Linked DNA regions of Astyanax mexicanus. The protein of the gene in region 3 interacts with the protein of the main gene of each other region in a biochemical or structural test. Links are inferred from orthologs where the notes say so. Each region holds a gene or a part of one and is shown on either strand. Other genes may lie near its edges. The genes, in order: ptpn6, ptprc and lck.

Region 1 (10,203 bases), on a different chromosome or scaffold from region 3:
GGCTAAACGCTAAATGCCAAAAACGCTGAAATCTAAAAACGTTTGGTTAAACGCTGAAATCTAAAAACATTTGATTAAACGCTGAAATCTAAAAACGTTTGATTAAACGCTGAAATCTAAAAACGTTTGATTAAACGCTGAAATCTAAAAACGTTTGATTAAACGCTGAAATCTAAAAACGTTTGGTTAAACGCTGAAATCTAAAAATGTTTGGTTAAACGCTGAAATCTAAAAACGCTTGTTTAAATGCTGAAATCGTAAAACTTTTGGTTAAACGTTTGATTGCTAATGTTTTGCTTGGCGGTTGCTATCATTTCTGAAGTGGTTGCTAAGCTGTTGCTAGGCAGTTGCTAATGTTTTCCAGGTGGTTGCTAAGCTGTTGCTAACTGGTTGCTGGGCAATTGCTAACATATACCAGGTGGTTGCTAGGTGGTTGCTAGGGTGTTGCTAGGTTGTTGCTAAGGTGTTGCTATGGTATCCGGGGTGGTTGCTAAGATGTTGCTAGGTGGTTGCTAATGTGTTGCTAGGTGGTTGCTAAGGTGTTGCTATGGTATCCAGGGTGGTTACTAATGTGTTGCTAGGTGGTTGCTAGGGTCTTGCTAGGTGGTTGCTAAGGTGTTGCTATGGTATCTGGGGTGGTTGCTAAGGTGTTGCTAGGTGGTTGCTAGGGTGTTGCTAGTTGGTTGCTAGGTGGTTGCTAAGGTGTTGCTATGCGGTTGCTAAGGTGTTGCTATGGTATCCGGGGTGGTTGCTAAGGTGTTGCTAGGTGGTTGCTAAGGTGTTGCTATGCGGTTGCTAAGGTGTTGCTATGGTATCCAGGGTGGTTGCTAAGGTGTTGCTAGGTGGTTGCTAGGGTGTTGCTATGGTATCCAGGGTGGTTGCTAAGGTGTTGCTAGGTGGTTGCTAAGGTGTTGCTAGGTGGTTGCTAAGGTGTTGCTATGGTATCTGGGGTGGTTGCTAAGGTGTTGCTAGGTGGTTGCTATGTGGTTGCTAAGGTGTTGCTATGCGGTTGCTAAGGTGTTTCTAAAGTGGTTGCTAAGTGGTTGCTAGGCAGTTGCTAACGTTTTCCATGTGGTTGCTAAGTGGTTGCTTAGTGGTTGCTAGGCAGTTTCTATAATTTCTAAAGTGGTTGCTAGGCAGTTGCTAACATATTCCACGTGGTTACTAAGTGGTTGCTAGGCAGTTGCTGTCATTTCTAAAGTGGTTGCTAAGCTGTTGCTAGGCAGTTGCTAACGTTTTCCAGTTGGTTGCTAAGGTGTTGCTAAGTGGTTGCTACGCACTTACTATCATTTCTAAATTGGTTGCTAAGTGGTTGCTAGGCAGTTGCTAACATATTCCACATGATTGCTAAGTGGTTGCTAGGCAGTTGCTAACGTTTTTCAGGTGGTTGCTAAGCTGTTGCTATTTGGTTGCTAGGCAGTTGCTATCATTTCTAGAGTGGTTGCTAAGTGGTTGCTATGCAGTTGATAACGTTTTCCAGGTGGTTGCTAAGGTGTAGCAAACTGGTAGCTAGGCAGTTGCTAACATATTCCAGGTGGTTGCTAAGTGGTTGCTAGGCAGTTGCTATAATTTCTAAAGTGGTTGCTAAGCAGTTGCTAATGTTTTCCTAGTGGTTGTTAAGGTGTTGCTAAGTGGTTGCTAGGCAGTTGCTATCGTTTTTAACGTGGTTGCTAAGTGGTTGCTAAGTGGTTGCTAGGCAGTTGCTTTCATTTCTAAAGTGGTTGCTAAGCTGTTGCTAGGCAGTTTCTAACTTTTCCTAGTGGTTGCTAAGGTATTGCTAACTGGTTGCTAGGCAGTTGCTAACGTTTTCCAGGTGGTTGCTAAGTTGTTGCTAAGCAGTTAATAGGTGGTTGCAAAGCCCTGGCTGGGGTGCCGGGGTGTCCAAACTTTTGACTGATAGCTGCTCCATACAGCAGCTCCTCCATACACTCACAGTACTGGAGGAGCAGGGGAGAGAAGGGGTTCCGTGCGCAGAGCTGCTCGTGTGCGAGATGGAACTCTGGGCCCCCCATTCATTCCTATGGGGAAACTTTGTACGATAATTGTACGAAAACCGTACGACGTATAATTTCGTGAAGCATATTGTCGGAAAGAACGCGATAAGTTGTATAAACCAGCCGTATTTCGTCTTTGTATCTCAAAAATTGTGACCTACATAGACTTTCAAATTTCCCCATACTATTTAAGTTAAAATAGAAATTTTAGTAGTGTCCCTGGGTTTTACTCAGTCCTGTTATCGTAACACATTACCCCATCTGAAACATTTGAGACATACTACAAGTCACATCTACATCAGGAAGTTCCATCAGTTGGTTCTTCTGGAGATCATGGGAAGACCAAAATTAAAGTTCCCTTATTTGTTTTTCTGTATATTTGATAGTGTAATTATGATTGAGGAGGTCAATCTCAACACTCTGTCCTGTTACCTAAGTTAATTCTTAGATATTATTTGTTTATTTTTAAAATAATGTAATTTCTAATTTTAGAATTTCTAATTCTAAGATAAAAACTCATTCCTGTTACTTATAACATAAAGAGTAACAGGCGTGACTGTCAGTAACAGGAGTGAGTTCCAGTAATAGGAATAAGTATTGTCCTCTGCTTTATTGCTTTATTGTTTAACCAGGGAACAATATTAGTGAATGTAAAACACTTTTTTTTTAATCAATTTCAGATTTGGGTCTTCTTGAAAAAATAAAAATAGCATTGCATCTTTTAGGAGAAATACAATGTACATTAATATAAAGTGATTTAAAAACAAAATTATCAATTATTTGAACATACTGTCAACAATTTCTTTAAAATAAAGACTTCTTTGAGAGAAAATCAAAAGAAATTAGTGAACTTGTTGTAACCGTCTTTGGTTTCGAAACTGAGATTAACAGTACGTGTAACAGTTATACATACAGTACATGTGTATGTGTTATTAGATTCAGATGTATATATATATATATATATATATATATATATATATATATATATATATACGTATATAAGTATATATATATATATATATATATATATATATATATATATATATATATATATATATATATATATATAATGTGGAATAATAACATTAATAATATATAATTTCCCCGTAAATAATAAAAACAAAAACATCTGCGCTGGCTGACAACCACGTTTCCATGGCATTGATTGACATGCTACACGCTTGTTTTCGTCATGTAAAAGCGACAGTAACTCTGCGCGTGAGTTAGTTTGCTACTAGTTAAGACACGACATAGGGGTCTGTGGTGTAACCGGATTTAGTAAAAGGATAGTTTAAAACTTAAATTAAAAAGAAAGTTACCCCTCCAACAGAGAACTTCCCGCTGCAGACACCGCTAGAAAGTTAGTTAGCCAGAGCCAGAGCTAGACTAGACCTGTTCAGAGCACACACAGCTACACACTGAAACAGAATTAACTAACGTTAATTCCCTCAGAATCAGAGAGACACAGAACACACACTGCAGAGTCACTGCGACACACAACAGCAGTCTTACTACATATACTCACTAAACAGAAAGAAACAACAACAACAGCAGCAGCAGACTCACCACCACCGAGCTTTCTTCATCAGCGGGTCAACACACACACACACACACACACACCTGCACAGCGAGGAGCTTCATATACTACATTTACATAGTGCACTACGATCACTATAACCTATAGCGCTCAGAAGAGCTCCTCTCTCCCTCTCTGTATGTAAACGGTGGTTGTGATAAGAGATCAGAGCAGCATGATTACACTTCTCCACCCTGTAATTTTCCCAAATTGCCGTGTTTTGCCTGAGAGCCAAAAAAAGCCTCCAAATCTTCTTCCTAGTCAGCAAACACACACGCACGCGCGCTCGCTCTCAACCACACACCTCTGTCTCACCTGGAGGAGTGAGGAGTGTACCTGGTGTGTGTGTTTGGAGCAGCTGTCAGTGGAACTCTGTGGAGGTAGATCATTCTGTAACACGGTGAGCTAATATTTCTCCTCACTGACCGCTTCTCTCCCTCCAGTCTCCAGCCTGAGTCATCCGGGTCACTCCAACCCACACTGTGCTCCACACACAGGACCTGTCCAGACTCGCCCAGGTGAAAACCTAATTCTACAGATATGCTGAAAAACCAAACCCTTCAAATACCAAAACATATTCACAGACATACACCAGTTAATCACCCCCTCTACACTCTACAAAATAATTTAATAAGATAATTAATCGCTTTATTAAACAGAGGGAAGATTTATTAAATTAAGGAAACAACATATTATATTAACAGAATGATTTATTAAACTGAGTTTAGCTTTATTAAATTAAAGAGACAACATATTATATTAACATAATGATTTATTAAACTAAAATCCACTTTTTCTTTGTGAAATACAATAGGTCTCTCCGAGTTGTATATGCATGCTGCACATAAAACTCTTCTTTAAACTCCATTGTCTGCTAGTAAAAGAAAATGTTCAGAAAATAATATTCAGTCTATTAGAAAAAGCACTGTGTCTACGTCAACCTGTGACTTAGGTTATTATTCATGGCCTCACCCGCCTTGACTCGCGACCGCCCACAGGAAGAGCTGAAGCCAAGCAGGGATGCCATTTTGTCAGACAGAAGCTAACAGCATCAGGAACAACATGGTAGTTCCTGTGTTATTTGTAAAAATAACACATCAGTGTTATATGATTTGCCCAGTAATTCAGAGCTAAGGAACGAATGGTCTATGAAACACCATCAGCGAAGTACAATTAAGATAGGTAGGTATATGTTTTAAACAGTTCTGTTTACACAACAATCCGCCTCAAGGTTTTGTTCCAACTGCCTGGGCTCTGCTGTGGCTCAGCCAACAAAACCCCAGGGTGGATTTTTACTTTCTGGACCTGGACTACCCAACTCTTTGTGTAAGTAACTAAGTTTACATAGGATCTCCGGTGGATTTCGTGTTTTATAGAGACTATAAGACTAGGTCAGTGACTGAACTGCACTTAGCAGGGCATTACCCGTGTTGTAAAGTAACATATGACATTGTAAAGGCAGTTAATATTGTACAAATGTGTTATTAAAAACATTTCCAACTGGACCCTCCACCAGACTAAAGCAGCATACCGGATCACACACACAAAAAAAGTTCTAATATATTTCTGAAGAACAGAACCCACTTTTTCCAAATATTATTAAATATACTTTTGTGCTCATTCTCTCCTCACTTCAACTTACTCTTAATCTTAATTTATGTCTAATGTGCTGAATAACAAATTGTAGAATACAACACACAACTATCTTGTGCTTTGCAGCTCCTTCCCCTTAAGAACACAATAGACAAATATTCATTAAAAAGCACTCATAATATCCAGACAAACCTTTTTGTTAATTATTTTAATTGTATGTAGGTCAAAATCCAGAAAGAATATATGTATAAACAATACCAGGGCAACAACAATACTTACAAAGTGAGCTAATCAAACGTTTTGAATGTGGAAAATCAGCCTTGTTTTAAACGTCATCCTGTCATCATCCCAGTTGTGTTTTCTGATTGTGGGCTGGAGAAGGGACTGTGGCTTATGATGTTGACAGTCTGTGACACCATCTGGGGACCACTCAGGAATGATGTGAGGTGGGTTGGACGGAGGATTGCGAACAGGAAAGAGTTTTTTTTAAACATGGTTTGCTAAGGAAATCTCTGTTTAGAGATGTCTGAGCTCATATAAACCGTTATAGTGTGAGGGTGTTTGAGTGTATTCTAATGCACTGAAAAAAACTATGTAGTTATTTGATTCAAATGTGTACATACATTTCACATTAATAAAATATCTTACATCAAGACAGAACAGTGGCGATGTGATATATTTTATTTTTGTGGAACTTCTGTATACATTTGAGTGGCATTTTTTTTCAGCAAACAATCCCACAAGCTATGTGACCTGAAAATCTCAATGCACAGGCCTCAAGATGCCAATACGCACTGTATTTTACAGGTCAGTTGTATTAGTGTAAAGACAGGAATGAGAAGTCAGAGTTGCCTGAGGTTATTATGATAACGACACAATGTGAGACAAGGAATCCTCGCAAAGCTCTAAGTCTGATCACTGGCCGCAGAGATGCTTGGGAGGGTAGTGAGAGGAAGGTCACTCTGAGCTGTTTTAGTGCTATTCAGGTTGGGGAGCTTGTAAGGAGAAGTGTTATGGAGGGACACAGTTATGTTACAGTGGAAAATTCTTTCTCTCTTTTCATTCTAACAGCAGGGAGGACTCTCTGTACAGTACTCTGGGTAACCTGATCCAGCACAAGAGGGAACGACTGGGTGAAGCTATTCCGGATCAGGGCAGAGCCTAAGGGATGTAAGGGTCAAAAGGTCATCTGGGGCTCAGCGGGGTGCCTGCGTCTGTGTAACCTCTGGCCCACGGCTGGCCAGACGGCTAAGGATGCTCCGCTCTGACATCTGCAGGCGCACAGCGACCGGTGGTATCCGGGCGATGGTGGCTGGGAGGCGGGTGACGTCAGCCTTCATGTCACTGAGCAGCTCCTCCAGTTGCTTAAGAACTAAGAAAAATGAAGAGAGAGTTCAATTTATGACAAAATAAAAGTATCTAAGCATCCCTGATAGATCTCTAATGAGCATCTTCAGAGACTGTGTATCTCTGTGTCTATTTAAAACGTTAAGGGCGTTTTCACACATTAAAAGACCAGACCAAAGTCCGTTTTGTTACACTGTATACATGTATACACTGCAGTTTAAAGAGCACAGGAAATAACTTATGTCCTGTCCTCATCAACCAATGTGGGCTGCACCTCTCTATAAACAAGCACTGATTGATTCGTAGAATGTTGCCAGTTTGACGAGTTGCCTTTCCAGATGTTATGCTGAATTCTGCCTGCCAAAATTCGACCTCTCTTTTAATGCATGTTTCTGTTTATAATTAAGCAATAATACAAGGGAGGGACTGCTGGCACTGCTGTGCAGCCGTCGCAGACCTGTAGATGTGCCAGCAGTGCCAATATTACATGTTAATCGCACCATCCCAAAGTTCCATCATTGCTGTTTATTAAAATATTTTGAGTTAAAGAGGATGAGAGAAAATACAATCTGTTTGGTTATAAACACGCGCTGCACTGTTGCTAGGTTAGCGTGGTGGCCTCTATTTTCGGCCATTTCAGTCAAAATTGTGGAAATCTAAGCTTATTGTAAATAAATATAAAAGCTTTACTCGCCTAAATAAATGTTTTTTTAGAAGAGAAATCTGTGTAGATTTAAGTCCAGTGCTCGTTTGACTTAAGAATTAAAGTTTTGTTTACTTCGACGCCCCCCAGCGGCGAGACCTGCGGAATTACATGGGGACCCCTATTTTTCGCTACCTTAAATTTCACTTAAAATACCCTATATTAACTAATATGATATCAACTCCTATCCTGATATTGATGGCTGATAATGTTTGTTAAAATACATATATTTTTTTGAATTGCTAAGTTTGTTTATTTGTGTGAACCGTGTCTTTGCCTGCACCGCCTATTGGAGAGATGGCGTTTATGCACTGTGCCTGAAGGATACACTGCAAAAAAATCCATTGGCAAAAACTAGATAAAATCTATTTAAATGGAGACATAAATGCTTAAATTAAATCTGCCAATGATGTAAGCAATTTTTTTTATAATGTTTTCTTAAAATAAGCAATGACAAAGCCTCAAAATGAGTGAAGTAAGACTTAAATCAAGCAAAATAAATATTTTCTAGCTTAAATGTCTACACTTGTATCAGAATAACTTGACTGGTGAATTTTAGTGTTAATTTTGAGTTAAAAATACTTAAAATAAGGTGAAAATTCTAAGTAAGACTGTATAAGATAATTATTTCTAAAACATGTAAAACAATCTTTTTTTTCTATTTACAATGCTTAGTAAGACTAAAAATCTCAGCCAATCACATTGCAGAGTCTGAACTAACTTTGGCATAATAAGGCTTAATGTACAGTTACGTTAGTTACAAGAGTCTTAAGCGTAAAAAATCTAGTTATTTAAGTTATTTAATGGAATTTGTTTAAGTACCTGCATCGCTGTGTGAAAAGCTGCAATTGGTGTGCCATGTGTTTCTAGTCTAGCACACAGGCACAATATTGATGTACCTTTGTGCAGTACAGCGTTAGCAGGTTTATTTCCAGACATGGACTCCTTGCTGAGGTGCTGGTGGGACTCAGCCAGACACTCCACCTCACTGAAGCGAGTGTTGAGGGCCATAGAAGGGTGGGATGGGTCTTCCGTCATGTTAAGATATGCCGCTCTACGCAGCTGCTCTTCTATCACCAGCGCCTGCTCCAACAGCTGGGGGAAAACAAAATCTCTGTAGTACCAGCAGCGTACATGAATGTGTTCAAGTGAGTGAGTGAGACAGTGAGTGTTATGTACCTTAAACCTGCGAGCGAGAAACTTGTTTTTGATCTCAAGGAAGTTTCCACGGCTCATCTCTCCTTTGAAGGGCTGGTTGAGGATGGCATAGCGCGGGTCATTCTGAACATCCTGCCACCGAGCATAGCCATGTCTAAGAGCACGCAGAGTCAAAGATCATAACAGCAGTGGCATATACTGCAGTGAGAGTACTGAGACAGAGCAGAAGAGCACAGGCAAGAGTGTCAGAGCTGTGAATAACACAGTCCCCACCCCAGCCACACTGATCTTTATCTAAGGCCTCTCTCTGTCGTTAAGAAGATAAATATATATTCTGATTCAAATGAAACTGGTCCCACCAACTTGAAATGAGAATGTAACTGGCTGACTGCTCCGTTAGTTTCTATTTACCACTGTGCACGAAATAAATAGCATTGTCTGTATCACTTAAATTTTTTATTTAATACCATTAGTAGACTGGACAGTTTGTCATTCTTGGGTGACATACAGGTTAGTTACGTGATTAACAGTATTATTAAATAAGCCATAAATTGTGCTGGTCAAAACATTAGTATTAGCAGGGCCTGCCTCAGGTTTACAAAAAAACTACTGTTCACTTCTTCACTTCCTGTGTGCTTCTATCTACGTAATTATAATAAACTAAAATTAGGCCAGTTCCAGTAAATCATTAGTTCCCACTAGCAGACTTCACAAATATTCCTCACATTTATTTTGTCAATAAATATAGTTTGTATTTAATTAAATGTTTTTGCTTCCTAAATATGCAATATATAAGTTCTTGTGTGCTTTTGGTACTTTTTTGGCATATTAATTCATATATTTTCCTATCAAAGTGCAAAAGATACTCCTGAAGGATTTATAACCTACTCCAGTCACTTAAATTACTAATGGTATAAGAGCAATGTAATCACTGCACTACTAAAACTACTGAAGCTATCTTTGGTCTTTGCACACTGTGGCTCCTGTGAACTTTGTGGCTTCTTTTGCAAACTGCCACATCCATGCTTTGTGCACTGCACTGCAGTGTGCTTGGAGCTCAAACTCACCATTAGTTCAAAATCACACAGAACCAGCACAACCAGAATTCAAACAATGAAATGAAATTAATCTTGTCTTCTCAAAATAAATCTTGAAATAACCTTCCTATTTTTGTTTCCACAATCAAGACAATATGTAATGCCACCATTAAACGTGATGTCCTGTGTTGCTCCATACTGCCAAAAATAGAATGATTAAAAACTTTTGTTCTCTCACTGTGGGAAAAAGGAATTAGGTAACCTCTAACCACGACCTAAATCTAAACCTTGGTGTGAAACTCTCAAACTGACGTGTTGGAGAAAGGATACTGTATGATGCCAGCCAGAAGCCAGTAGTCATGGCGACGGTGCCAGATCTCATAGGTCTTCTTGGTGACTGTGGCGGCTCTCTCCTCGTTCTGCCAGAGGGAGTGTAGTTCTGCACACAAGAAGCATTATTAACTGAGGGGGTGGAATCATTTCAATTCATTACAAAAAAAGCAAACAATGACTTGCTTCAAATTTCACATAAACAATCTGTGTCTATTAAAAGGGCACAACCAAAAGAGTTGGTTGCTCTAGAACAGCCTAAAACCATGACTAATGTCAGTTATGAAAGGGTGGTAGGGGGACCCCCAGCACTAAAATGAGAGCAGTGGAAGACTAAAGTGTTTTGGACGATTTCAACTTCTATGTCGACTCAAAGCAAAGTCTATGTTGTAGGCAGACTGTTTAGTAGATTCTGAGTTGACTCAGTGTAGAAGTTGTGAGCTTTTATATTTGTATTTATGAACT
Region 2 (10,613 bases), on a different chromosome or scaffold from region 3:
CGCTAAAGGTCCACCCACTGAATGGAACATGATAACTTGTGAGTAATCACTAGCAGGTATTCTACAAAGAAGTTAACTTCCTTTGACCATGAGGTGTATTTACTTGTAACAGTATGATACTCCAAAAAATGTTTGCCTGTCTGTGAAATATTTGCCATGGTTAGTTCCTAATAACTTAATAAAGAAAAGTTCTTGATTATTCACAATCACTTACTGAATTTTGGGCCACAGTAACACAAAATGCAACAAATATAGTTGTGATCAGAGCATAATCATGTAATTTAGAAACAGATCACGGTTACGAGGGGTATTAGCCAAGGTTAAGGTTAAAATGAAAATCACAAAGGCCAATGACTTTCAAAAGCTAGTTTAAGCTGCCTAAACATAAAAAAACACATTAGTCATGCTTGGCTTTTGCTCAGATAAAGCTGTGATTAAAGTTGTGATTTAGAAGAGAATATATCACGTTAAAATATCAAACATTTAACATTTATTGGGAATATTTTATCACCCAATTAAACACTTAGCAAACTTTGCATAATTTCCTGTTTAACTAGCACTAAAAGTTTAAAGGAGATAAACAAGAAAATATGCCTTGCCAATTTTGCTATTTGCAACTTGATTTAATATACATTTTATTGTACATGGACATCAATGAAATGTGCTTTAAAGCTCGGTAATAGGGGTTAAGTATTAGAGAGGTGCAGAAAGGTCAATACTGTCCAATTCTGTCTTTTTAACTTTTTATTAAATAAATGAACTAAACAACACTTGTAGTGATAACAGAAATCTAAATAAAAGTGAGTAAAAAGTTTATGTTAATTAAACTGTGAAACTTGCATATTTGTCTGTGTTTATTCTATCAAATATATAAAGTCAATTTCTATGACCCACATTATGGTCGAGCCCTGACTAAAACTTTATAAAGGCATTATACCTTTACCATTAAACTGTAATCCATGAATAAGCTTAATAAATGTCCAGAAAAAAAGGCCCCTTCAGTTTTCTGAACTTATTTTCTGACAATTTTTATTAAACTCTAAAAAAAAAAAAGCTTTCAACTTTCAAGATCACTTTTCACCCTTGGTGTCAGTTTACTACCTTCACAAATGGCTGCTCTCTAGCTAAAAGGTACAAGCTGTACAGAACTAGGATAGTAACGTTAGCTAAGGTAAATTAGCCTTAGCATGTGTTTTGTTCACCAAAAGAATGGCTTTCACATGTGATCTTTAGAAAATAATAATAATTCATTATTTAAATAGATACAAAACCTGTGCAAAGTTTTATAATGGCCATTTTGGGACCTTTCGTAATTTTGAAGTAGGGGTGGGCCACAACTGCAGAATATATGTAACAAAACAAGGGCTACAAAACCATTTTTCTCCGTTTTAAAGACCATCATAATATGATGTGTGCACAATAGTCACTTCGCAGGACATGTAATGTCACATCGTAAACAAATTAGATCAAACTTGTCATGATACAATTTTATCAGTATAAAAGGAAAAATTGTTAATGACATGCTGGATTTTTAACTTCATTGATTTCTGGTACAAAAAAATCCTGTATTTCTTAATATCACAATATGTATCACAGGACAAGAAAATATCATAATGCCTGTTATTTGTATTATCATCCTAGTGAAACACTGGTGCTAATATGATAAACACGGGCAAATTCACAATTTTATCACACACTAACTGCCTGTTTAAATGAAATGAAATGGGAGCTTGTTAAGTCATAAGTATTGTTTTTTGCTTTTTCCCCTGAACTCAAACTGTGAATTCCAAACTGTAGTGTGAACTTTTGTGTACCACTATATCGCTATCAGCAACTTCAACTAAGCCTTGATAAAATAAGATTAAAAAATAATAATTATGAAAGATATCTTTGAACTCTTGTTTTAAAGGCTATTGTTACAATGTATTACTCTAAACTGACTCTTTTAACAGATATACCTTTTTTATGTAGTATTACCTTTTATCTCTTTGGTAATTGGTTAATAAAAAAATGTGTGTGCCCCTACACGATCAGAGAGAGTGTCAGCTAGATATATTAATATATACTAATTCACTTTCTGTTCTGCTTTCGTCCTCAAAAGTACAAAACCAGAGAGCAGGAATCTAAATTAAAGGCAGTAACAATGGTCCACAAAGGTTTAAAAAAAAAACTTCTTTCTTAAAAAGAAAAGTACAAATGCTGTGCCATCTCTATTGACTTGATAAACCTTTAAGATATGATTTTATGTTGTCTTTTTCTGATAGCCCTGGCATGTGAGCACATGATTATTAAACTCACACTTCCTAATATAGGCCCATTTCTCAGTCTCCCTGTCCTGCCTGTTTAGTACAGTTACAGGAATCACAGTGGCTTCTGTTATTAACCCCTAAGTAAAGACACAAAAATGAAAAAGTAAGAAAAAAAGTAATGAACTTCTTCATTTCACCATGCACTTTTTTACACAGTCTAGCACTATTTTCACCAGTGCGCTCAAACTAGTGAGGAAGAGACACCAGCTCAAACTGGAAGAAGGAAGTGGTCAATAGCCGGTGTGGAGCGGCCACATTTCAGAGCCCAACTGAATTAAAGAAGCCATATAACTACACTGATAATTAACACAGCTCCCAAAGAATTATATAACCAAGTGTTTAATTCAACATCAAAAGCGTAAACTTGTTGTTAATTATTGTTAAGTATAGAGGAAGCATTATATTATAGAGATTTAAAAGGCATTAATCAAAGCATGAAAAATAAATAAGAGTTTAATTCAATGAAAGAAACTGAGGGACAGATAGTGAAGCCATTCACGCAGCTATGAAGCATCAGTCTAATTCTCCTCAACTAGATCACAGCCACAGGGAGACACACCCAAACACCAACCCTATGTTACAGTTACAAACTGTTCAAAGCTCCCACCAACAAAGACTAATTAAATCATACTCCTGGTAACAGAGAGACGCACATACAAAGTCTATTTTCTTTTGCTCGGTGGCCTTTATGTAAGATACATCACTAAGCAAGACATACTTATCAGGAAAGACTGCTGAAGGCCAAGTTCGCATCACGTCATCGATTCTATATTCTCATTTTCCAAAGTACACAATCAGTTAAAAACGCAACATTGTTAAAAAAGGGAAAAGTTTGCCCCACTGCTGTATATTTTAAACCTTTACAGTTCAATACCAACAACAAGCTCAAGTATCTCAAAATTAAGAAACATTAAGTACAATTTCCACTTCTCACTTTCTACTTCCTACAACAGACTTACTTAAATTACTTAAATTAATTAAACAGGTGTAACAATTTATTTATTATAAATAACACATTTATTATCTTGTTTTTAAAAAGAACATTTAATATTTGTAATAAATAAGTTAGCATGGTCATTTAGTGCAATTGTATAATCTAACCCATCAGTCCACCACAAGAATACCCGGAGAAAGAGCATCCTGTCACACGCTAGTCTGATGAAATCTCTGAAACGTACCTTCATTTAAAGACGCCAGTAAAGACATTTTGTACTTACATAGTGCCAATCCTGCCAGGACCAAGAGTAAGAGCCTTAGTCCAGGAAACGTCGCCATTACCGGGGTATAAGCGTCTCCTCTAAGACACCATAAGTCCTATTAGAGAGATAAAGTGTTAAAAAGTATTCACTTTTTAAATTTTTGGTGTGTTAAACCGAAGGTTCTGTAGATTTTATTTAAGGTCGTTCAACTTACGTTTTCTTGTTTGTCCAAAGGGTACAGTCCGTAAAGTTTTACCCCCCCAGTGTCCTCAAGCTTGCTGTAAGTTTGAAAGACCGAGCACTGACAAGACCGCTTACACCTTCAGCAATGCGCTGAGGGCCTCTTAACAGGAAGTTGTATTTTCAGCTACGCCACAATCTCTCGCCTTGCACTTCTGTGTCATCCTTTTAAACTAAGAAACAATGCAGCACAGAGTTTAAGAGCATTGCATTAAGAAATTGCCTTTCATCTACTGGCTTTCATAAGGGTCATTATCTTACAGTACAGTACAACTGCCCCTGTAGGTGTGTGGAAACGTCTTTGATTTTAACTGCAGAGATCAAATTCAGGTTTGAAAAAACTGTAAATATATGTCAATTACCCATAACATTAACACCACCTCCTTGTGACTGCACTTACTGTTCATTTCATCAGTTCTGTTTACCATATAGGAGCTTTTAGTATGTTCATAATTTTTACCCACCTTTCACCCTGTTCATTAAGGATCAGGATCCCGCAGGACCACCACAGAGCAGGTATTATCTGGTTTATCTGGGTCATTCTCAGCACTGAGTGACTCTCATATGATGGTGGTGGTATGTTACTGTGTGTTGTGCTGGTACGTGTATAATGTATAAAACACAGCAGTGCTGCTGAATTTTTAAATATTTCAGTTTGACTGCTGAACTGAGAATAGACCATCGACCTAAAAGATCCTTCCAACAGCATCCTGGGGCTACTGATGAGGATGCACTAGAGGATGACCAACACAAAATGTACAGCAATAAATGTCAGATGTCATGTTACTGTCATTACAGTGCTGAGAATGATCCACCACTTAAATAAAGCCTGCTCTGTGGCGGTACTGTCAGATCCAGAAGGTTGAAGAAGGATAATAACGTATGCAGAGAAACAGAAGGACTACAGTCTGCAATTATAAAGATTGAAAGTGCTTTCACATTGTAAGTTGAGCAAATAAAATGGATTGCGAGTGTAGAAACAAGGATGTTATGGCTAATTAATTTCAATTTTTTCAGTTTCTAAAATCCATGTGCATTCAATATAATAATCAACACATTTAAGGATGAACCTATCAGAACCCATCTGCTCGTTCACGCTTGTTCTTTCTGTGTATTATTGAGGTAAAAGTTTGTATAGCTGCTAACAGGCACGCATTATGGGTTTGTGCACTGCTGTGTGTCCATGTGTGCGTAACAAGCAGGGGTGTACACATGTTGGGGATGCGCCTGTGTTGATAATTCACTGCCAAAATAGTAATGAGTGTCTGACAGATGACGTCTGCCTAGGTTGCTTTTAGACAGTGGTGCATCTGTTTTCCATTGCATAGCTATTAATACGCCAGCAATTTACCTGAACACAGCTCACTTCAAGACCACTATGTCCATCGGCGTAGATATATTCACATGCACCGTTGCTATTAAAACAACATAGGTGCAAGGCCTGAAAATAGACTGTTAATGAGGTGTAACATAGCAATGTGCATTGTAACGCCTCTTGCAAAGGGGGTAAAAAAAGGGCATTTTTTATGTTGGTGATGCACCCATGTATGACATGTAATTTACAAGTATAAATCTAAGACAGATAGAAAAAGTATAAAGTATAACAAATGTAGAAGCTGTGGAAATCAGTGTTGCATTGTAGGATAAAGTAGTGCAGGCTGATCCGAGCAGAGGTGGGCTGAGTAGCCAAAAACAGAACTCAAGTAAAAGTACTGTTATTTCGAAATTAGAATTAAAGAGTAGAATTAAAAGTAAATTAGATTTTTTACTTGAATAAAGGTAAGAAATTTCAGTAAAAACACTACTCAAGTAGTGAGTTATTTCCTCAATCTTATTTAACAATCAATAGAACTTGAATTATCACAGCCTTATTTAGGTATCACATATACAAGCACCAAATCAAAAATGCCTATAGCACTTCTCCTCTCTTCAATCTTTCTGTAAAAAACAACCAATCTAAAGTAGCAATTTAAAACCCAAATGAGGACTAAGTTTTATGCTCTATATTTATTAAATGCTCAGCAGATAATAAATTAAAAAGGTAAAGATATCAACAGTCCAGGCTGTTAGGCTGGTAGTGAAGACATGATATAATTGCTGGTTTTGGTATTCTGTAGTAAAAACATTGCCTCAAGCTCATGGGGTCAGGGGTGCGTACCTGCCTCCTTCAAAAATTTTGCCCATTTTTACCATCACAGTCCTGCACCATGCCAAAATCTACCTGTCAAGCCCACCGCTGTTAATGACTTGATACCAGATTTTTACCATATATACTGTAGTAGCCTTTACGTAAGTCACATAAGATGCTTTTAATTGGTGAACGAACTCGTCCTTTTCATTGGTGAAGGAAGCTTTATATGAAAAAAACAACAAAATGCGCATTGGATTAAAACAGCTTGATGATGAAAATAACAGAGTAAAAGCATATTTTTGATATCACAAATGTATTAAGTAAAAGTGCAAAGCACTGTATTTAAAAATAATTCTTACAAGAACAATCTGTTCAAAAAGTTACTTTAACATGTAATTGCAATGAGCATGCAAAAATGTTTTGTAGTGCAATGTCTATTCAAAATCAATTAATTAGGTAATTTTTGCCAGGATTAGATGCACCATGTTTGCTCAGGTAATCAGCAAATTCTGTCATTGCCAAAAGAATCCAGAACCTACCAGACCCCCTGTTTTTTTAATTAAGTAAATAAATCTGGCTTTACAGGAATAGTTGCAGCAGCACATTAATGTTATTTATTACAATAATTCCCCCCCCCCCCCCCCCCCCTCTGCTCAGGAACACTACTTGCTACTTACTACTCTTAATTTAAAGTACAAAATCTGAAGGACTGCTGCTTTACGTACATGTAACATGTAAATGCATCATGTTGCTTCCCACTTCTGGATCAAAGTGGATTAATATTGTACATTGTGTTACATAGCATTTAGCGGATGCTTTTATCCAAAGCATCTTACGAGTAATGATGTACATTTAGCAATAGAGGACATACACGTTCAGTGCAAAAACATTTTTTAACAGGACCTAAAGAAGGCCTATGGGGAATAGTGGGATAGAGGAAGAAAAGAGGGGGAGCAGGAAATAATGCTAGAAGTCGTTAGTTTGTTAGTGGTGTTAAAAGTGTAGGTGTTCTTTAGAGAACTCTGCCTTTAGGAATTCCTTAAAGGTAGAGTGGGACACCCTTGCTCTGGCAGTGGAAGGAAGTTTGTTCCACTATTAGGATTGCTTAGTGTGTAAAACTGCTATACAGATTACTGCATTCACTGAATTATGAAGAGATACATAACATAATAACAAACATAATAAACTCAAAAGAAAATAATCAACATAACACACCATGCAATTTATTAGAAACGTAATAGTATAAATATCAATTATTGCCATTAATTAATCAGCCAATTATGTGGCACATGTAAAATACATTTAATTATGCTGATGCAGGCCAACAGCTTTATGTAGTTTTAAGATCAATTATCAGAAATGGGAAAGATATGACTTTAGTCATTTTAAGCATGATTGTTGGTGTCTGATGATCTTGTCTGGACTGGTTTCTAAAACTGTCTCTCAGTTTACTCAGAATGGAGTAACAATACAAACATCCAAAGAGCAGCAGTTCTGTGGACGGAAACATCTTGTTGATGAGAGAAGTCAAGTGAAACTGGCCAGAATTGTTGAAGCTGACAAAAAAATTCTATGGTAATATAGATAACCACTCTGTACCATTGTGGTTAGCAAAATAGCATTTTCTCAGGTCTTCACTTTGATCAAACAAGAACCGAAAGCGAAGGCTACAGTCCACCGGGTCACCAATACTGCACAATTGAACACTGGCAAAATGTAGCCTGTTCTAATGCATTTTGATTTCTGGAGGAACACAGATAGTAGTGTCACAAATTGGTAGTATTATCATTAATGTATGGTTTCAAACTGCCCAAAAAATGCATGTCATGACCTTATTTATGTCTCAGCGAGCACTCTCAATTTAGTTTGCAGGCTTGATTATCATATTAGTAGTATTGTGCATGGTGTTAACAAGAGCACAAACACAGCAGCAACCAAAACAGACAGTGGCAAACCAAAGTGAAAACCGGAGAATGGGCAAGATGTTAATAACCAGCCGACGAAGGGGCAATTCAAAGAAAATAAACCAACAGAAAAAACAAAGATCATTTACGAGATATCACAGAAGGTTTCTCAGTGTGGCAACAGAGATACAATTAACAAGTGGTTAATTCATTAAAAGGGTATTTATATACGCTTAATTGTTAAAAGGTGACAGTGATTAGTATTCAAGTGATGAGGATCAAGAAAATGTTTGTGACTCGCTGGTGAAGGTGGTATGACTGTGACATCATGAGCAGGAGAAGTGTGGGAAGTGGAGATTAAAAATTTAACAGAAGCTATAGGAGAAACTCAAAATGTGGCAGGTTTACAGTAAATAGCAATAAAAAAATGAACTTGTATGGACTATTAGAAAGTCAGTGGCTGCACTAAATAATCCCTCTCTTACACCTGAAGCAACCCATTCTTACCAAAAACGAAAGAAAAAGTGTAGAGTGTAGGAGAAGTGAGGAGAAGACACAGCAAACACAGGAAGAGAGCAGAAAGACTACTATGAAACTACTTTAACAATGTCAAAGATGACAACTGGACAGCATTGATAATAATGAATATTGCTATGACTTTAAATGTGTTACAAATAATACAGTGGCATTTCTTTTAATCAACGAATCTGTGAAGAATGTACAACTAAATGTAACTAAATCTGCATTCTAGTTTAGTTAAATACAGGTTTTAAACACTTTAAGCTCTTCACACAAGCCCCCTAAACATATCTCACATTTTAGGCCTTTGAACGTAGAGTATGCTGCAAGATACCACTTCCTTGCCCATTCTTTTTTCACCTTCTTTTGGTTTCCCGCCTGTTTGAGGAAGTAGCAGAGAGAGGCGTATTCACAAGAATTCACAACAACAGCTTCTTGACTTTATAGTCAGAAGTAAGACTGAAACCCTTTTTGTTACTTTCATATGCTCCATTATAATAACTATGCAAATCTGAGGTGTTTCCATCAAAAATATATATAAAAAACCTTCACTAAAATGCTATGTCAAAACATTAAATGGAAAAGTAATGTATCTTCATAAAGTGGTTTTATGGTAGATGGATCACACCTCAGTGAACTCAAACTCCTCCTCTATTTCCCTTTAGACACAGCCCTTTCTCTTTTTTACCACTCACCTTAGTTATGGGTGGGGTCAAGCTTTGAGGACCCTCCTTAAGCAGAACTCCTGATCTCTGACAGTCACCCCTCAATACCCCTGCACCACAGTGGCCTATAGTAAACTACCCCACTTCCCAAAACACATAAAAGCCATAAAGGCTACAATGTTATATTAAACTGTTATTGTTGAAACATTTGGGATGCACTAGGCTGCCTGTTTAAACATTTGGGCACCCCTGATAATTTCCATGAATTTGCTTTATAAATCATTGGTTGTTCGGATCAGCAATTTCAGTGATATTTGAGAAGTAAAATCAAGTTTATAAGGTTTACAGAAAGTGTGCAAAAATTATTTAAACTAAATTAGGAGGTGCATAAGTTTGGGCACCCCAGCAGAACAATTATATCAATATTTATAAGATCCTACTTTTGCAGAAATACCAGCCTCTAAATGCTTCCTATAGCTTCCAATGAGAGTCTGGCTTCTGGTTGAAGGTATTTTGGATCATTCTTCTTTACAAAACATCTCCAGTTCAGTCAGGTTTGATGGTTTATGAGCATGAACAGACCACTTTGAATCACACCACAGATTTTCAGGTCTTAATATTCAGGTCTGTGGACTGAGATGATCATTCCAGAACATTGTACTTGTTAGTCTGCATGAATGCTTTAGTAGATTTTGAGCAGTGTTTAGTGTTTAGGGTCGTTGTCTTGTTGAAGTATCCAGCCCCGGTGCAACTTCAACTTTCTCACTGATTCTTGAACATTGTGCTCAAGAATCTGCTGATATTGACTGGAATCTATGCGACCCTCAACTTTAACAAGATTCCCAGAACCTGCACTGAACACACAACCCAACAGTATGATGGAACCACCACCAAATTATACACAAAAGTAGCAAGTGTTTGTCTTGGAATGCTGTGTTCATTTTTTGCCGTTCATACCGATCTCCAAATAACTCAATTTTAGTTTCATCTGTCCACAGCACCTTATTCCAAAATGAAACTGGCTTGTCCAAATGTGCTTTAGCATACCATAAATCTTCTTCTGCATTACTCTCCCATACAGCCTTTTCTTGTGCAGTGACTCCATCTGCAGCAAGATGATGTTGTAGGTCTTTGGAGCTGGTCTGTGGGTTAACTATGACTGTTCTCACCATCCTTCTCCTCTGATTATTTGAGATTTTTATTGGCCTACCACTTCAGGCCTTAACTAGAACTGTGCCTGTGGTCTTCCATTTCCTCACAGTGGAAACTGAAATATCTGAGCTTTTTGTATCCGTACCCTAAACCATGATGTTAAACAATCTTTGTTTTTAGGTAATTTGAGGGTTGTGTTTTGAGGCCCCCATGTTGCCACTCTTCAGAGAAAATGCAAAGAGGAGAAAAACTTGCAATTGGCTCTTTAACCCTTTCACATAATTGGATTCACCTGTGTATGTAGGTTAAGGGTCAAAGAGCTTACCAAACACATTTTGTGTTCCAATAATTAGTGCTAAAGATATTAATAACAATTGAACAGGGGTGCCCAAATGTATGCACCTGCCTAATTTTGTTTAAAGAATTATTGCACACTTCTTGTAAATTCTATAAACTTTATTTACTTCTCAAATATCACTGTATTATTTTGCTAT
Region 3 (10,164 bases):
CAAGCTGTCGCTACATCTCTAAAATGGACAATTGAGAAAAAAACAGGAGAAGAAAAAAGTATTCTTAGCTTTTAATAGTGTAAATTTTGTATATGAATAAATTTTGAGCAATTTGTGTTCATTTATTAAAAATGTGAACATAGTGTAAACAAAGCTGTAATGTTCCAGATTTACGTTATGTATAATTATGTATAAAGACAAAAATAGACTATTGCATTTGCGTTACAGTAGCATTCTGTATCATCAGGATTAAATCTGTACTTTTGACAAAGGTCTATTAGTTTTTATGTCAGTAAATGGCTAACCATGGAAATTGTAGATTTATCTTTTCCACAAAAATAAGACTATAGACACAACAATTTCTTTCATCAGATGAAAATTATCATCACTGCCACACACTGCCAAAATCTAGTAGCATTATAGGAGAAGAAAATACCTTATAATGCAATAAGAGTTCTGTTCAGTCATTTTGCATTATTTTTATTGGTCCATTTAGACACAGTGTAAAAAATAGCTGCCAGAATTATGATTCAGTTAAAAATGTAAAATGAAATTGGAGATAGTTATGATATAAGTAAGTATTCTGTTTCATTAGGGTTAAATCCCCATTTGCGCCAATTCTGTTTGTTTTGACGTCAATAAATATACTGGATAAACAATTCTGCAAAACAAAACTACACACATACGAATATATACTATACAAAATATACAATATATAAAAATCCTCAAATCTTTAAAATGGCAACTTACATGATAAGAAAAAAATCACCCTAACTTTCAATGAAAGTCAATATAAAATGATTTTTATTATAATTCAATTTCTATTGGTCCATTTATCATATCATCATATCTATGTTAATGTTCTTTATCATCAGGTTTGAAACTGCATTTTTGTCAATATTCTTTTTTTTATGTTAATAAATGATAAAACAGGAAAAAAGATAGGATGGCTTTTGCATTCTGCAAAAAAACAAGGCTAAATATTAATAATAATTAATAATAATATTAATAATAACTAAATATAAATTAAATTTCAGTTACAGTGTTAAGAAAAACGGCCCGATTCAGAGAGTTAAAAACAGCAAAAATGGAGTGAGAGGTGATCTATGTTTGTGTTCTGTATCGTCTGGGTTGAATCTGCACTTTTGACAATATTCTGTTTGTTTTCATGTCAATAAAAGACTAACCGGTAAAAAATATAAGGGATTTGTTTTCCTTTTCGCTTAAAAAAAAAAACAAGACTATACACACAACCATATATTTCCACTGGGTCAATATTATCTTCACAGACTTTACACTAAAATCCTTTAATCTTCAAAACAGCAACTTGCAGGATAATAATAAAGAACACCCTAAATTACAATGGAAGTCATTCTTAAAGTTTTGATGTTTATGTTTGTTTTAATGTTAATAAATGAAAACTGTGGCAAAATATGAGGGATGTATTTTCTGTTCCGCTTAAAAACTATACTATAGACTATACACACAACAATAGCATTTAATCAGATGAAAAATCATCATCGCTGCCACAAAGACATCATTTTATCTTCAAAATGTTAAAAATCTTAAACTCTTTCAGATCATGAAATTATAATACGTAAACAACAGGCACATTCAGATTATGTCAACATTTAAAAAACGACAACAATTTATTTATTTGTTGTTGGTTTTTTTTATCGCTTTTTGCAACAAAATCTCTACTTTCCAAACAATTTTGCACTAAATTATCTAAAATAAAAAGGCAAAATCATAGTTAGTTAGTTACTAGTTAGAGTTACGCCACAATCTTTAATACCACCAACCCTAATGGAAATAAAGAAGTTTTTAAAGAATATCTTCAGTCTATCTTTCGACTTCCTTTTATTCCTGTTGTGTATTTTTTTTACCGGGCTCGTTAGTTTCCGCATTGAGTTACAGGCATTAACCCTGAAGGCCTAAAGCAGCTAAGAGTAAATCCCCTGGCCAGTCTCTCACAACACAAACAAGGCCGGGTCCTGCTCACGTCAGGAATGTTACAGGCGGCACGGTGGCACGGCCTAAAGGTGTCAAACTGGAAGCCGAATTCCTTGGCAGCTAAAGGCCTTCCCTGTTCCCTGACCCAGTTCACCTCTAACACCACAGCCCTGCTGCCAGCTCCTGTCCTCTGCTCACAGAGCTGCACTGTTTCCCGTGTGTGACGCTAGTGAATGATAATTATTCATCACTTAATATTAATTAATAAGATTAGTGATCTTACAGCAGCACATCTGCTCAACCAAGCATCTGAAATACACTCAAATACACACCACACCCTTCTCCTTTAACTACTGAAGGTGAGGTCAGGTGAGGACACTCAAATAACACTTATAACATCTGAAGAATCTCCTTCTACATCTTATTCTGTCTATTTTTTTTTGCCTCTTTATAAATTATAAAAATGATGCTAACACTTTACAATAGGGCTACATTCATTTACATTACTCACGACTAGAATGTCTCAAACTAATCATTAATTAATTGACACGAGTTAATATATTATTAATCATTACATCATTTTTTTAAACTAATATGTCAATTTATTATTATTTACAAAATTCTTAATCATTGTAATTTAGTAATGGTCAATAATTTCTTAACTAGTGTCAATTAATAATTAGTTGAGACATTACGTAACAATTTAACAACGTTGATTACTGTTAAAAGTACTTTCATTTGTGACCCTTATTGTAAAGTGTTCCCAAAATTATGTATATGAGCCAACGTAAATGGAATATATAGAATATATAGAATATATATAGGAGTATATGTATAGTCGCTGTCCTATGAAAAACATGTATTTTCAAAATAGCAGCTTTTTCAGTGGGAGTCAATGCAAAAAGAGTTTATTTCAGGTACATTTTTTGGAGAATTTTAATTGGTCCATTCATTATTAAATTTTAACGCAGTGTCTGTTTAAATCATGTAGTAAACTAAAAAAATTCATGAATATTTATAATGTATTATAAATATATATGTATGTATATATTATATATATATGTATTATATATGTATTAAAATGTATTATCTATATATATATATATATTTATAATGTATAATGTTTGTGCCTCTGTAACAGGAAAGTATAGAAATGATATCACTTATACTGTATGTACCATAGCAATACAGGAATATGTATAATTTGCATAATATATGTTATAGGTAAGCAAATATATCATAGCAGTGTATCCCATATGTATAATATAGATAATAAACATAACAACAGTCTATGCCATATGTATCATTCAAATATATGTATACTATATTTAATAACAGTAAATCCCACAGTATATCTCATTTGTATTTCATAAATATGTATGGGCCTGTACACCATTATGCCCCATTTACATTATATGTCAATATATATGAAACAATATACAATGTAATACATATGTGTTAAAACAGCTTTTTCAAAAAATATAAATAGCTTCAAATCTTCAATACGACTTATTATCCTTCAGGTAAATGAGTATGTTTTAGTGGTTGTTTAGAATTTAACTTGTTTCCCAAGATAGATTAAAACAACACTTTAAGTTATTAGTTATTTTTAATTATTTTTTTTTTATTTTGTTTTGATCAAACCTGTCACAGACCTGTCACAGAAATCAAAACTATTTTTTTTTACGTTGATTAGCTTAATTTATATTTTGTAATCTATTTTTTTTCTAATTGTAATGCGATTACATACTAAATACATTTTCCACATTGTGACCAAAATAAATAGATATAAACATTGCTTTTAAAAATTGCTTTTTGGATTTGAGAAATCGTGGCCAAGGTCGACCCAACCCAAGCGCCACCTCGTTCTTCCTTAGTTCAACATTTTCACTCAAGTCTTAAGTCCAAAGATTTATCTGTGGGATTTTTTTCAGCATTTTCTAAACAGATTGAGTTTCTAAATATTTCTAAATATTTGTGATGTATAATTTAATGAACACTCTGTGATTTACTTCAGCAGTTCCCCGCAGTTCAGAAGCCCTCAGAAGGTCTGCGCTAATTCAGGACATACCTGTTATAGTATCACTGCTGGTGGTCTCAGGTGGTCCTCAGATTTCATGGATGGGTGGGACTGGTCCTCATCCTTATATCCACGGTTTTACAGGATCCGAAACGCTTCTAGAGAAGCTTCTAGACCTGTGAAGGAAAGGTGCGCAGATAAGACTGGTGCAGCGCTGCTTCAGCTTCACACACATGTGGTGCGTCGAAAACTGTGAGCGACATCACATCCTCTACATCCTCCACTTTACCATCAGCACATCACACACTTAGACACACACACACACACACACACACGTTTGTTTAGGCACCTTGTCAGGACGTGGGGACAAACATACTGTATCATATTATTAAATATGTATCAAAAGTAGCAACTACAGTTGCACAAAAAAAAAGTATGTGAACCCTTTGGGATTATACTTGGAGTTCTGCTTAAATTTGTCATTAAATGTGTTCTGATCTTCATCTAAGTCACAACAATAGACACAAACAGTCTGTTTAAACTAATACCACATAAAAATTCTATGACTGCATGGTTTTTATTGAACACAACATGTTAACATTCACAGTGAGGGGGGAAAAAGTATGTGAACCCCTAAGCTAATGACTTTTCTAAGAGCTAACGGGAGTCAGGACTCAGCCAACCTGGAGTCCAATCAATGTGATGAGATTGGATGTTGGTGTTGGTTAAAGCTGCCCTGCCCTATAAAAAAACACACACCAGTTTTGAGTTTGCTGTTCTTAAGAAGCATTGCTTGATGTGAATCATGCCTCACACGAAAGAGCTCTCAGAAGACGTATGTTCAAGAATTGTTGACTTGTATGAAGATGGAAAGGGTTACAAAAAAAAGTATCAGTATCTCTAAAAGCCTTGATGTTCATGAGACCAGGGTAAGACAGACGTCTACAAATGGAGAAAGTTCAGCACTGTTCAGCTACTCTCCCTAGGCGTGGTAAAGTCCTGTAAAGATGACTGCAAGAGCACAGCGCAGAATGATCAATGAGGTGAGGAAGAATCCTCTCAGCTAGAGTGTCAGCTGAAGACTTACAGAAATCTCTGGCACATGCTAACATTTTTGTGGACAAATCTACAATAAGGAAAACATTAAACAACGGAGGAAGCCACTGCTGTACAAGAAAAAAAACATTGCTGCACTTTTGAAGTTTGCAAAAGAGCACCTGGATGTTCCAAAGCAGTACTGGCAAAATATACTGTGGACACATGAAAACAAAATTGAGTTGTTTAGAAAGAACACACAATGCTATGTGTGGAGAAAAAAAAAACAATCAAAACCTCATTCTAACTGTGAAACACGGTGGAGGGGGCATCATGGTTTGGGGTTGCTTTGCTTTACTGTCTCATGGCCTGGATTTGACGGATTGACGTCATCAACAGAAAAATTAATTCCCAAGTTTGACAAGACATTTTGCAGGAAACTTAAGACCATCTGTCTGTCCGTCAACTGAAGCTCAACAGAGGATAGATAGATGGTGCGGAAAATACACCTTTTGGAGTGGCAAAGTCAGAGTCCTGACCTCAACCCAATTGAGATGCTGTGGCATGAGCTCAAGAAAGCGATTCACAGTTAGAAGTTATCCAAAAGCAGTGTGTAAGACTGGTGGAGGAGAACATGCCATAATGCATGAAAACTGTCATTAAAACCCAAATATTCAACAAATATTGATTTCTGAACTGTTTTTTTTTTTTTTTGCATTATTTGTGGTCTGAAAGCTCTGTATCTTTTTGGTTATTTCAGACATTTCTCATTTTTTTGCAAATAAATGCTCTAAATAACAATATTTTTATTTGGAATGTGGGAGAAATGTTGTCTGTAGTTTATAGAACAAAGCAACAAAGTTCATTTTACTCAAATATATACCTATAAATAGCAAAATCAGAGAAACTGATTCAGAAACTAAATTGTTCTCTTATTTTTTTTCCAAAGCTCTTTATGTTAAAGCAAGAAAATAAGGGCATGGTAGTCCAGACAAAGTTTAAAAACCTGTGCGCACAGTTTCAGCAGAGTTGTGGAAGATCAGCAGGTTAAAGAGCTTCCTGTCGTTGTGCTGGCAGTGCGCACTTTATCACAGGTGGCGTCGAGCTCGTGCAGCTGTGCTCAGAGAGACGTTACAGACCGTCACCTACCGGGCGAGGATTCCACCCGACTCTGCGGGACCTGCGGCCTACAGCTCGCTCTGCAGCAGCAGCAGCAGCCTGGAGCAGCCTGAACCCTCCCCAACCAGCTCCAACTGCAGGTCTGCACAACCACAGGGACACCGTACACACTTTATATAGCACTGAGTGGAAACCTGCGGGTTCTCCACCTGAGCTAGAACCCCACACATCCACTGCCCCACTTCTGATACTGCTCCACACAGTCCTGCTTTTTTACTGCACACCAGTGAGTTTCCTACAGAAAAGCATCTGGAATCTCTCTCTCTCTCTATTTTTTCTCTCTCTCTCTTTCTTTCTCTCTCTCTTTGTCTTTTTGTTTGTTACACAAATGCACTCTCTCTACACTCTCTATTATATGTGTTCTATTTTTGTAAAATGAGACAATACTTATTCATCTCTCTCTCTCTCTTTCGCTCTTGGTCACATTTAAAGTAAGAGACAAAGAGAAACAGCAGAGAGAGAGAGAGAGAAAGCGAGACATGGAAATGGTATTATCTCATTCTACAAGTGACAAAACGTCATCACATAACCTCTCTGTCTCTCTGTTTCTTTCTGTTTGGGCCCTTTCATACACCGTGATGCTCATTGCTATCTTACACCCTGTCGGCAGTCTATTTTTACGCCTTGCACCCGTGCTGTTAAATAGGGTCTGAGTTTAGGAATATATCTACACTGATGGACATGGTGGTCTGGAACATTTCTGAAGTTCAGGTAAATTTCTGGCGTTTTTCTATCTTGGAATTAGAACAAACAGATACGCCACTGACCAATTTAAACCCTGACAGCAGGGTTCCAACAGTCAACAGTCACGATCAGCGTGTGTACACTCCCATTCTTTACGCATCACACATCAACAATACAGAACAGAATTAAGTAATAATAGACAATACGACCGCAGCACAGCAGTGCCAATATTTCTGTTATTGTGATTATACCACAGTTCCATTATCACTGTTTATTAAAAGATTAATTAAGTTAAAGAGGATGAGAAAATTCAATGTGTTTGGTAATAAATAGTTAAATAAATAGTTTAAACAGTTACAATGCTGCTCTGTTTGTAGCTGAGCTGTAAGCGCTGCTTTGTTGCTAGGTTAGCATGGTGGCCTATATTTTTAGCCATTTCAGTCAAAATTGTGGAAATCTAAGCTTACTGTAAATAAATGTAAGAGCTTTACTCACCCAAATAACCGGTTTTCAGAAGAGAAGTCAGGGACTCAGAAAAAACAAAATGCTTAATAGAAGAGCTAGCAAATTAGATTAAATACAGGTGAAGGGAACAAAGGAAATTGAGGGTATATATACAAGGGATTCCAGGTGTGAGCAATCAAAAGCTTGGCGAACGTGATCAGGGATATCTGGTGATTGAGCATGCTGGGAAATGGAGTCTTTGTTGTGAGGCTCTAGTGTCCTAAGCAAATGACAACCAAGGACAAATTTAGTAGTTTATTTTAAGTCCATGTTGGATTAATCCCTGTAATATTGTTGATAAGCTGAATACATATCAGCTGTTTTTAGGATGTTTTAGGGCAGTTTTCATTGCATTTTGGTGTATTTTAAACACGCTTTACACTATGTGCACGCCAATGTAACAATCTGGCAACCCTGGTGGCTCATTGTTGGCTCCAGTTTCTTCAGCTGATGGTTGTTTAGTAGTGAGACTTCCACAATATATTCTGGCCAACACTGAGCAAATGTAGTGAGCTACAGTGTTCACTATAAGTTATGATGCATTGTGGGAGTTTATAGTGCCTTAAAATCACGTTCTAATTCCACTTTATGATGCGGACACTCAGAAAAAAATAGCCAAAATACTCAACAGTTCTCTAAAACATAAACAGGGAAGCATTTAGATTACAGACTCGTTCTTTCTTATGCACCACCTCTAACCTAATATCTTTCTATATTACTTTCTGTCTTTCTCTCTTTTTCTTTCTCTCTCGACCGCACTCTTTTTGTTGCGGTGGCAGGCGACAGATAATGCATGCACTTGCAGGAAGTCAGCCAAGACACATGCAGGAAGTCAGCTACGTGTTTGAACAGGAAGACGCATAGGTCTCAACTCTAAACTCTCAACTCTCTCTCTCTTTTTCTCTCTCTCTCTCTCCGGGCGGTCGACATCAGAGCCTCAGGTTGAGGAGCGTTTCCTGAGCAGAGTTCTCTCACTGGCCTGATTATTACAGCTCAAGACCTTCTCATTTCTCGTATTGTGGTTCTGAGGCTTTAGGTACTTTGATTGCAAATATGCCCAAATATGTCCAACCAAGTCGAGTTCCACTTCTGTCAGCTTTGAAAACTGCAGACTCAGCTTTCTGGTCTTGGCTGACAGAAGTGGAACTCAACACGGACTTTTGTTGTGTTTAGTTTTGTAGTAAATTAGAATTTGGCATTGTATGAAATTACATCACACTCCATCACTTTTGCTCATGAATATTCATACATGCAAACATATCGTCTCTGATTGGTTAACTGCAGCAGAGAACGCTACCTGCCTTTACTCTCCCCGTGGCCGAGAAATATTATCAATGCCGCGGTGTGAGTAGAGACGCAACACCCCCCCATGCCCCCACCCACGACCGAGCCCCCACATTCTTCCTGCAACTAAGTCGAAGCCCCAGAGGCCGCTTTATATCATAACATGACGCAAACGACGCCCACTTTGATCAGTGTTTTGTCGAGTTGTGCTGCCTTGTCAAAACGTGCTTCCCTAGTGTATATTTAAGGTCTCTGTAAAACGCAGAATCAACCGGAGATCCAATTTGATTCGATGTTGCTTACACTCATGAGTTAACATAGTCACGGTACTTTTCCTGATGAACACTTTTTCTTTTCCTAGCTACTGCAGACCACGGAGTTTGAGGGAACAGTTTCATGTGCAGCATCATATACAACTCAGAGAGATCTATTGTATTTCATAAAGAACAAAAAAAGTGGACTTTAGCAGGAGGAGATTTTTAAATATCTTCCAAATAGCATTGCAATCCAACATTTCTTTCCACTTCCTTTGGACATAGAATAAATTTAGTGATTTTTCATTATTTAAACTGTGCATTGTAAATCAATATATAAGTCATTCAAACTATGAAGACAAACATAAGAAATTATTTAGTAAACAAAAAAGTGTTAAACAAACCTGAATATGTTTTATATTTTAGATTCTTCTAAGTAGCACCTCTTGCTTAGATGACAGTTTTGCACATCTTCGCTGCATTTTCTCAGTCAGCTTTATGAGGTCAGCTTTATGAGTCATCTGGAATTCAGGCTTTCAGTTAACAGCTGTGCTGAACTTGTCAAGAGTTAAATTACTTGACTTTTTAGTCTCTTAATGTGTTTGAGAGCATCAGTTGAAAAGTTGTGAAGAGGTAGAGTTGATATACAGTAAATAGCTCTATTTGAGTAATGTTCTAATCCACAAATCTATCATAATGACAAGGAGTTTTTAACTAAGTAAAGAACAAAATACTTTAAGAAATGAAGGTCAGTCAATACAAAACTTTTTAGTAACTTTAAAAGTATCAAAAACGTTATGATGAAACTGGCTCTCATCAGGACCACCCAAGGAAAAGAAAACCAAGGGTAACAGCCTTTGAAACCACAACTTAAAAACATCCCAGAGTATTTTGGTTTGTTTAACAATTTTAAGTTATTATACGATTGCTTATGTGTTCCTTCGTAGTCTGGATGACTTCAGTATTCATTTACAATGTAGGAAAAAAATAAAGAAATAAAAACATTGAATGAGAAGGTTGTTGTTTATATTGTATATATTAATTGGCATCTAATTTTCAGAGTAAAGTTCAGAGTAAGCAATTATTATTCAGGAAGCTTGCAGGAGGAAATGCAGGGTCCGGCGTGCCCCCTTAGATGAATACCTGCTGAGCTCATGCAATCGCAATGCTAGAAATTCAAGCTGCAGTTGTTGGCATTGTGAATAAAGAAAACAGCCTCCGGCAACATTCCTCTTCCTCTGAACAAACATC

Evidence for each region.
Region 1: of the proteins of lck (region 3) and ptpn6, one has a biochemical effect on the other in vitro, tested with the Homo sapiens proteins (4 studies listed by BioGRID and IntAct, with this or other methods). The link is inferred for Astyanax mexicanus from reciprocal best matches to the Homo sapiens genes LCK and PTPN6.
Region 2: of the proteins of lck (region 3) and ptprc, one has a biochemical effect on the other in vitro, tested with the Homo sapiens proteins (5 studies listed by BioGRID and IntAct, with this or other methods). The link is inferred for Astyanax mexicanus from reciprocal best matches to the Homo sapiens genes LCK and PTPRC.

What each region holds. Positions count from the first base shown.
Region 1 is NC_064413.1:26,347,844-26,358,046, forward strand, and holds the start of ptpn6 (tyrosine-protein phosphatase non-receptor type 6), read right to left. Parts: upstream 4,026-10,203; 5' UTR 3,886-4,025; intron 3,751-3,885; exon of another isoform or gene 3,561-3,750; intron 1-3,560. Other genes in the region: chd4b (chromodomain-helicase-DNA-binding protein 4), read right to left, coding at 6,360-6,535, 8,113-8,308, 8,393-8,525, 9,739-9,847. UniProt on the Homo sapiens protein: Tyrosine phosphatase enzyme that plays important roles in controlling immune signaling pathways and fundamental physiological processes such as hematopoiesis.
Region 2 is NC_064423.1:21,155,571-21,166,183, forward strand, and holds the start of ptprc (receptor-type tyrosine-protein phosphatase C), read right to left. Parts: upstream 3,877-10,613; 5' UTR 3,723-3,876; intron 3,624-3,722; 5' UTR 3,585-3,623; coding exon 3,527-3,584; intron 1-3,526. UniProt on the Homo sapiens protein: Protein tyrosine-protein phosphatase required for T-cell activation through the antigen receptor. Acts as a positive regulator of T-cell coactivation upon binding to DPP4.
Region 3 is NC_064421.1:41,911,787-41,921,950, forward strand, and holds the start of lck (tyrosine-protein kinase Lck), read right to left. Parts: upstream 4,221-10,164; 5' UTR 4,025-4,220; intron 1-4,024. UniProt on the Homo sapiens protein: Non-receptor tyrosine-protein kinase that plays an essential role in the selection and maturation of developing T-cells in the thymus and in the function of mature T-cells. Plays a key role in T-cell antigen receptor (TCR)-linked signal transduction pathways.